Linked DNA regions of Tribolium castaneum. The protein of the gene in region 1 purifies or fractionates together with the protein of each later gene. This does not show direct contact. Links are inferred from orthologs where the notes say so. Each region holds a gene or a part of one and is shown in the gene's direction. Other genes may lie near its edges. The genes, in order: ebo and zinc finger matrin-type protein 2.

Region 1 (4,568 bases):
CGAAAATTGGTGTCAAGTGAGTGCGAATAGACTGCAGAATTCCGCTGCTTCTAAGTATGTGCACAATCGAAACACAAATACCAAACTTTACGGCTCGAATTTATGATTGACTTTCAGGAGCTTTTACTTTTTATTTGCGGTTTTATCGCAAATAATAAAATTGTATTGGCCATTTCTTTTGTCATTTTATTACGTACTTCTCTGAGCTTGTATCCGGATTCCATCAGACACTGGGATATTATTATTTTTACGACTCCTAGCTGCAATTAAAAATTACTCTTTCATCACGAACTAACGCAGATTGAATCGGCAAAAATGCAATTTTCGACGCAAATTCCGCTTTATTTATACATGATTTTTCCGATATAGCTGAGTATTGTCGAATAGTCGCCAAACAATTGGATTTTAATTTTGAAAAAGCGGCGTGACTGAAATTGTGTGCGCTTAATTAAGAAACGTTGATTCGCGCTTGATCGTGAATAAATAAAATTTAATGCAGAAATAGTCAATCATTTTCTTCCTTTCCCAACTAAACCGACTGGAGGCTCGAACAGAGGGATCACTCACGGTTTAATTGCACATCACAAAGTCAAGTCGGAAGCTTTGGCTTTGAGAGCAATTTGTGTTTTACACGACAACTGCGGTTTTTGAAGCATTTGCCTCGGAATTCGGACTGATTATTTTTTACAAAAATATTTCTCTGTTTACTTTAAACCGTACCGGACTGCATAAGTTTGCAAACTCGGAAGTAATCATTCAAAGGTGAATTCTCTTGTTCTAATAAAAAACCAAGAGACCAACCTCACATAAACATAAAAAACGAACAAATGTTTCTTCCCTAGTAGACGCATTAGGTTTAGGTAAGAAAGGAACATAAATCTCCTACCGCTGTCCCGAAATGTTTATGTTTAGTGTTTTAGTCACAATGTTTATTAACCAACTTTTTTATTGTAATTATTGAGATCATTACGGTAACAATAAATACTTCTCCAAATTTAGTTTGTACGTCTTCCTCAGAGCACATAGCTAAGTTAAATTACTGAAACCTCATGCAATTCAATTCAATTCAAAAGTTTGATTAATTCAGCCAATGCAACACTAAATAACCGGCAACCTGGATTTTGAATTTAGTTACTTAACGAGCTGAGTTAAGAGCTTGATTGATATGTTTAGAGGTGTTTTTTTATTTTGTGATGAATGAACCGAAATGAAATTAGGTTTAATTTGTATGTAACAAAAGAATTGTTACATTGCGTAAAAATTGACCCGTTTCTGGCCATACAACAGCATATGACCCTATCTAACAAACGTCATGTGATAAAGCCCAAACAATTTGTCACCCTTATCAAAGGTGTCACAAAACAAAAAGCGAAAGGGTGTTTTTGTTGGAATAAAATAATGTTGCAACCACCACACAGGGCTGCATAATATAAGTGGAATGAACGAATTCCGACTCAAGTGAAAATTGTCAATCAATTTATATTATTTATACTTGTTCATGTTTCATGTTCTATGATGCAGGATTTATCATCATTATTTGATGATTATGCCAAGCTCATATTAGTAAATTACTACTACTAAATAACAGATACAAGCCTGGTTGCACCTAATACAATTTGAAAATACCAACGCTAATAGAAACTAATAATGGCAGTGGCAATCAATATTTATTTATGTGCTATAATGTGAAAAATATCTGTTTATTTCAAACTATGCGCCGTAAAGGTGCCAACATCGCCCACGTGAAGTAACTGCCGACGTCAGAAACGTCAAAATGTTGATAATTTCGTAAAGTTAAATAACGTTATTTACTAATAATTAACATCGTTGCATCAATGTCATGCATTTGTTGATATAGCAGACATAAAAAATGGTTAGTATGTGGAAGATTGCGGCGGTTTTGAAGCGACTTGTCCAAGTTAGACTTACATAACCTCACTTGGGGAAAAACGATTTTTTTGAATAATTTCCTTATAAAATAACGTTTTTGCCTGTTTTTGAAGGAACGTAACGAGAATGAATCCTTGGTTGCGTTGGAGTACCTACTGGATGAATTTTTTAACCCGGTCACAAGCAATTCACGAAAACATGAAATTGAACAGCAGCTCAGTTCATTTAAATACCTACCCCAATCACGGAAACTGTGTTTGTACTTTCTTACAAATACCTCTAGTCAATATGTGACTATGTTTGCCTTATCGACATTAGAGGTATGTCTTTTTTGTACAAATTGTGGTTTTACATAAGTTGGTATTTTAGTCTGTGATTAATCAACAGTGGGCAAATACTGATTGGCCTTTTCGAGAAGAGTTAAAAAACACACTGTACAATTATTTAATAGAGAAAGGAAACAGCGCACCCCATTTTATAAGGAGCAAATATGCCAAATTGCTCGTAATTATAGCAAAACAAGACTGGCCATCGCAGTACCCGAATTTTTTTATTAACATTATTGAGGTAAAAAACCCAGTTTAAGACACCCAACTGATACAAATTTTCAGTTGTTGAAATCCGAACCAAATCAACTGATTGGTTTAATTTTACTGAAAACGACAAGCGAGGAGTTGATGGGGCTCCAAGCCTCGTTTGAGAATGGTAGAAAAGACGAAATTACAAGACTGCTTCATCAGTACATTCCTGTGGTTTTCGATTCACTAAACACGATTCTCGAAAATTTAGGTACGTGTCCTCGAACCGAAAATTAAGTTGGCAGCATTTCAGTCGCCCACTTTGACCAAATTTTTTTTTAATTACGTAGGCACTAAACCTAGACACACCGCTACAGCGACCCCGCCCCCGTCCCCAACCCACCCCACGTCCGCTCCCAGCCTCCCCCAGCAACTGGCCACTGCGACCTTCAAGCCCGACAGCAAAGCCCTGAATAAGGAAGCCCTGGAGACAGTGCAACACCTCTTTACTTGGGTGCAAATCAACCAAATTCCCCCGTCGATCATTAAAGCCATTTTTCACTTCACCAACATATCCAGCTATGCTCAAGTGAGTATAAAAACGCGATACGGATCAACTGGTTTTTATTTGTTTTGATTGAGTCGTTCCGGGTTTACTAAAACAAGCTCGAAAGATTCAAACGTTTGGAACCTCCGTATGTCCGCGTCATTTCGGACTCGGGTCGAGGGCAGTTTGCGAATTTTTTCCACGTAGTTTGTGGACGGAATGTGAAATTCGTAACAACAAAATTTGAGAAAATCATCATAGGTTGATATTTGGTCGGATGAAACTTCGACTTCGATGAAGTCTTTGTCAGGGAGGTCGGCAACTCGTAATTTGAAAATGTGGTATCCTAAAAAATACTTTGCTTAATTGTTTTATTAAAATAAATGTTAGTAAATAAGTCAGTCAACAAAAAATTATCACCTCTACCTGGCGGGGGTTGATATCTGTCGTTACCTTGATCCATCTTTCAATTTTTTTCCGCAGAAACACAGAAAATTACAATTTGTCAGGCTGTAAGAAAATGGTCGGGAACCGATAACTTTATCGCTTGTTTTTGTTCAAACAAAGATATATCTTCTAAATACGTTGTTAAATATTTTCTTTTGAAAATTAATCGAAATAATAATGTTGGAAAAATTTGTTCGTTAATCGACTCGTCCGAAATAAGATTGAGATATCGTTTTGTATAAAAAAACAATAACTAATTTTGTTTTTTTTACCTAATTTTTATTTTATATGGGAGGGATTCTGAGAGAATTCAAATTTTTTTTCTTACCATTTTATACTTTCTTGTTCAAAAAAAAGGTCAAAAATTTCAAAGGCGTTTGTTACTGTTGGTCTTCTTTCTTTTTTTCCTAGTATATGTATTTATTTTCATTATAAGGTAAGTAAATAAGTAGAAAAAAATAATTAATACACAAACACAGTAGAAAAAAACAAAGCTTTTAACACTGATTTCTGTGTGATTTCTATGTTACTAAAATTATTTAAATGTTTATTAATTAAAATTTATTTTTTGTTTAAAGTCTTCACATTTCAGTATGAATTTGGTATGGTAATGAATTTTTTTTAATAAGGTAGGTACTTAAAAAAGTCTTTAAATAAGGAGATTAAACTGATGAAGTGATGAGTTTCAAATTTGTTTTTCCATTTATAACCATTACATAAAGGTTTAACTACTGGGAAAGGTTAAATGAATGAAGACAATACAGTAGTTGACATAAGTAGATCATCTACATTGTGACAAAAATAAAAAAAATAGTTAAAATACATTCGAAAGCTTAAAAAACAGCTTTGGGAACGTAATATATACAACATTTTTACTGCAAATTAATTATTAATACTCATTCTAACGTTTAGAAATTTTGACATTAAAGAGCGTAAAACGCAATCATTTTTACATTACAGTACGCAAAGTAATGCAGTGAAAAAAAACGAATGCTTTGTGCACTAAGATTAGTGAGTAAACACATGTTTTTTTGGTCAATTATAGATAGATATATAATACTAGTGCGAAAACACAAGCTTAAAGTTCGAGGGTTGTTGTACGAGCGTATGCGAGTTACATATCTAGACACCCGAGAATTTTAAGCGTTTTCGTATGAGTGTTGTTA
Region 2 (3,133 bases), on another chromosome or scaffold:
TGCTTTATGCAGAAGGAAGATATGACCATGTAAACACAAAATTTTACCAGTTTTAAGTTTTTCGAAAATGTTCACATAATAAAGGCAATTCCATGCAGAAAATCGAACTTCGGATTCGAAATCAGCAGAAAATTTTGCATAAGAATCAGTTTTAAAAAACGTATGTTCTCTAACCTACACGGACAAATAAATTATTAACTATTGCGCGCTACTGATGCTGACGTTGAGTACATAAAATATGTGACCGCAAATATGCGACATCACTTTTGCCCTACCTTTTATTTCGTTTAACTGAATAATGTAAGGTTTACTTAACTTTTGAAATTTTGAAAAATTATTTCGAACAAAATTTTTTTTTTAAATCGTTACATTTTTAAAGTAGTTAATGATGTACTAATTAGTATTTTTTGTAAGGTACATAGTTTACGCACAAAACGCTTGATTTAATACTTTTGCTCAACGCTGCATGTAATATTGTATCAAATAGATTTTGATTACAATCTTTATAGTTTCGCCATAATCGGCTTTTTAAAATTGATATTTTTTTTAATATCACCTTAATCACTAAATATCACCTTGTTCCACTAAAATTTTTTGCAACTTTGCATTTTGCATAAATTGCAAATTTTAAAGTTAATGTCTTCCACCAATCTTTGCATTTGTTTTGGCATATTTTTGTAAAAAGAAGTATTTTTGCTAAGTATATTTTTTGCTAAGTGTGCAAAATACTGTTGTTGGTGGAACATAAAGGTGTTCGGGAACGTGCAAGCGCAAAGTGTAAAAGTCGTTTGTGGAATAGAGCCCACATCAGAATTTTCTGATAATGTAATAATAATAATATTACTCAAAAGTTGGCAACAATCGTATAATTCTATGTTAGCAGTTACGGTTTTAAATATTGAAAGAATTTTATCATATAATAGAAAATACACCTTGAACTTTATTTTAAAAAATTGGTTTATAATGTTTCACAGCAATTAATACTTGACCACATTCAAAATATCAAATGGTAGCGTAATTAATTGTCTAGACTAAGAGCGCCGGTTTACAAAACATTTTAATTGCAATTAAATTTTAATCGCGGTTAACTCGACATTTGTCAATGTATTTAATGCTACTTAATTTGAATTAGTTTAATTTTGAATTAAATTCAATTTGATTTTTTGTAATTTAAATTAATTTAATTTATTTGTACTCGACTAGAATATTAATTTTTGCTTCGACCATAAAACTTGGAACACTCTGTATAATTAGTTGCGTAGGCTGCCATTTGAATATTGTGTTGCCTACCCAAAATAATAATTTGTTAAAAATTTAAATTTTTTGAGTTATCCACTTTTTCTTTGGTATTTATAACTTATAACTAACTCATAACGTAGTGGTAGTTTGAACAGCCACAGACTGAAAAATTGCAAACGAAAGATTCTGTGAATTAGATTTTAAAAATTAATAAAAAAATTGAAATAAATAACTAATTGTCTTGATTACGGGATTTTTTTGATCTTTTCCCATCTTAAATTTTTAAACAGGTAACCCAGCTAACTTCGTTAGATGTAATAGCAGAGTCGAATAACCAAAAAATTAAAAAATCTATTAAGTATTCTATGAGTTTAATGAATTCAATTGTAATAATCTAATGATATATATAAACATCCTGAATGGCGCAAATTCGCAATTTATTAGAAAATGAACCTTTATTCTTATGAAGTTAGCAACATAACCTAACCTTGAAAATTTGACAGCTGTCAATGTGTACTGCAGTTTGTCAACACTGTTATTGTACTTGAGTTTTTATTAATTGATTGTGATCCTGCTAAAGAAAAATCATCAGAAATGACTATGCGACCAGACGACCACCGCCGAAAATGGGACAGGGACGAATACGAGAGGTTAGCCGAGGAGCGCAAGAGGGAAGAAATCGAGCGCCTCGAAGAAGAAACCAAGAAAAAGAAAGGCCCCCCGGTGAAACGTGAAATGCTAAAAACCCGAGAGTATAAAGTAGACCTGGATTCAAAGCTTGGCAAAAGCATTGTAATAAACAAAAACACACCAACATCACAATCGGGGGGCTACTACTGCAACGTCTGCGACTGTGTTGTTAAAGATTCAATCAACTTTTTGGATCACATCAATGGCAAAAAGCATCAACGAAACTTGGGAATGTCGATGCGGATCGAACGCAGCAGTCTGGACGCAGTTAAACGAAGGTTTGACCAAAACAAGCGGAAAATGGAGGAGAAGAAAAAAGATTACGATATGGCAGCTCGCATGCAGGAAATTGCCGAAGAAGAGGAAAAGCTACGCGAATACAGGAGGGAGAAAAGGAAAGAGAAGCGAAAAGCTGAGGAAATGTTGGAAGAAACATCTGAACAAGCAAGTGAGCTTGCTAGCATTATGGGATTTGCAGGTTTTGGATCGTCTAAAAAAAAGTAGCAAAATGTCTTTCAATACCTTTATTACAATAATTTAGATTTGTTGAAGTTTAAATAAAAATCAATATTATGCTAACTAGTAAGTGAAGTACAGTTGGAAGAATCATTGTGTCAGCCTGTAAAAAATAATTGTAAATGAAATAAATGTGAAGGAACAAGTTGCCTTATTTTCTTTTTTCATATATTCCTCAGGCATTGGGTCCTTGACTTTGGGCGTCTCCTTCACATTGTCACAGCTTATTGTGAGAATACTGTCAATTATCGACTGTAGAAGTTCTTTAGTTGTTGCTGCAGCGCTGTTTCCACACACTTTCGCAGTTTTGATGTAATAACAGTCAGCTATGTCTTTGTAAGCCCTGAAAACAATTAAATATTTGATCAAAGAAGCCCATGATGTTAAATAAGTTTCGTAACACTCAAAGGTAACATGTAAGTACTATTAAATTCAAATGTTAATTATATTTTATTAAGTTGCCGTTGCACCAAACTTGATTGCATATTTTCAACTTTTTAGCTCCAAAACTTGTTGAAGGCTTGAAAAAAGTAAAAACAATATTTTTGGCTAATTTGGCGATTTTTTCAAAGTTCGTAACGAACTTTTCGATGTAATCGCGTTAAAACGCAGTGGCGTGTGGTGTGAAAATATCTTTATTTTTTGTAAAAATGAATTTTACTAAATTCCATATCGACCACTTACAAAT

Evidence for each region.
Region 2: the proteins of ebo (region 1) and zinc finger matrin-type protein 2 purify together in Homo sapiens (co-immunoprecipitation; 3 studies listed by BioGRID and IntAct, with this or other methods). This does not show direct contact. The link is inferred for Tribolium castaneum from reciprocal best matches to the Homo sapiens genes XPO6 and ZMAT2.

Annotation. Positions count from the first base shown.
Region 1 is NC_087399.1:5,109,548-5,114,115, reverse strand, and holds the start of ebo (exportin-6), read left to right. Parts: upstream 1-1,733; 5' UTR 1,734-1,870; coding exon 1,871-1,873; intron 1,874-2,003; coding exon 2,004-2,210; intron 2,211-2,259; coding exon 2,260-2,457; intron 2,458-2,501; coding exon 2,502-2,679; intron 2,680-2,758; coding exon 2,759-2,997; intron 2,998-4,568. UniProt on the Homo sapiens protein: Mediates the nuclear export of actin and profilin-actin complexes in somatic cells.
Region 2 is NC_087395.1:20,716,648-20,719,780, forward strand, and holds zinc finger matrin-type protein 2, read left to right. Parts: upstream 1-1,716; 5' UTR 1,717-1,833; coding exon 1,834-2,433; 3' UTR 2,434-2,482; coding exon of another isoform or gene 2,483-2,548; 3' UTR 2,549-2,590; downstream 2,591-3,133. Other genes in the region: uncharacterized protein LOC656218, read right to left, coding at 2,483-2,548, 2,596-2,788. UniProt on the Homo sapiens protein: Involved in pre-mRNA splicing as a component of the spliceosome.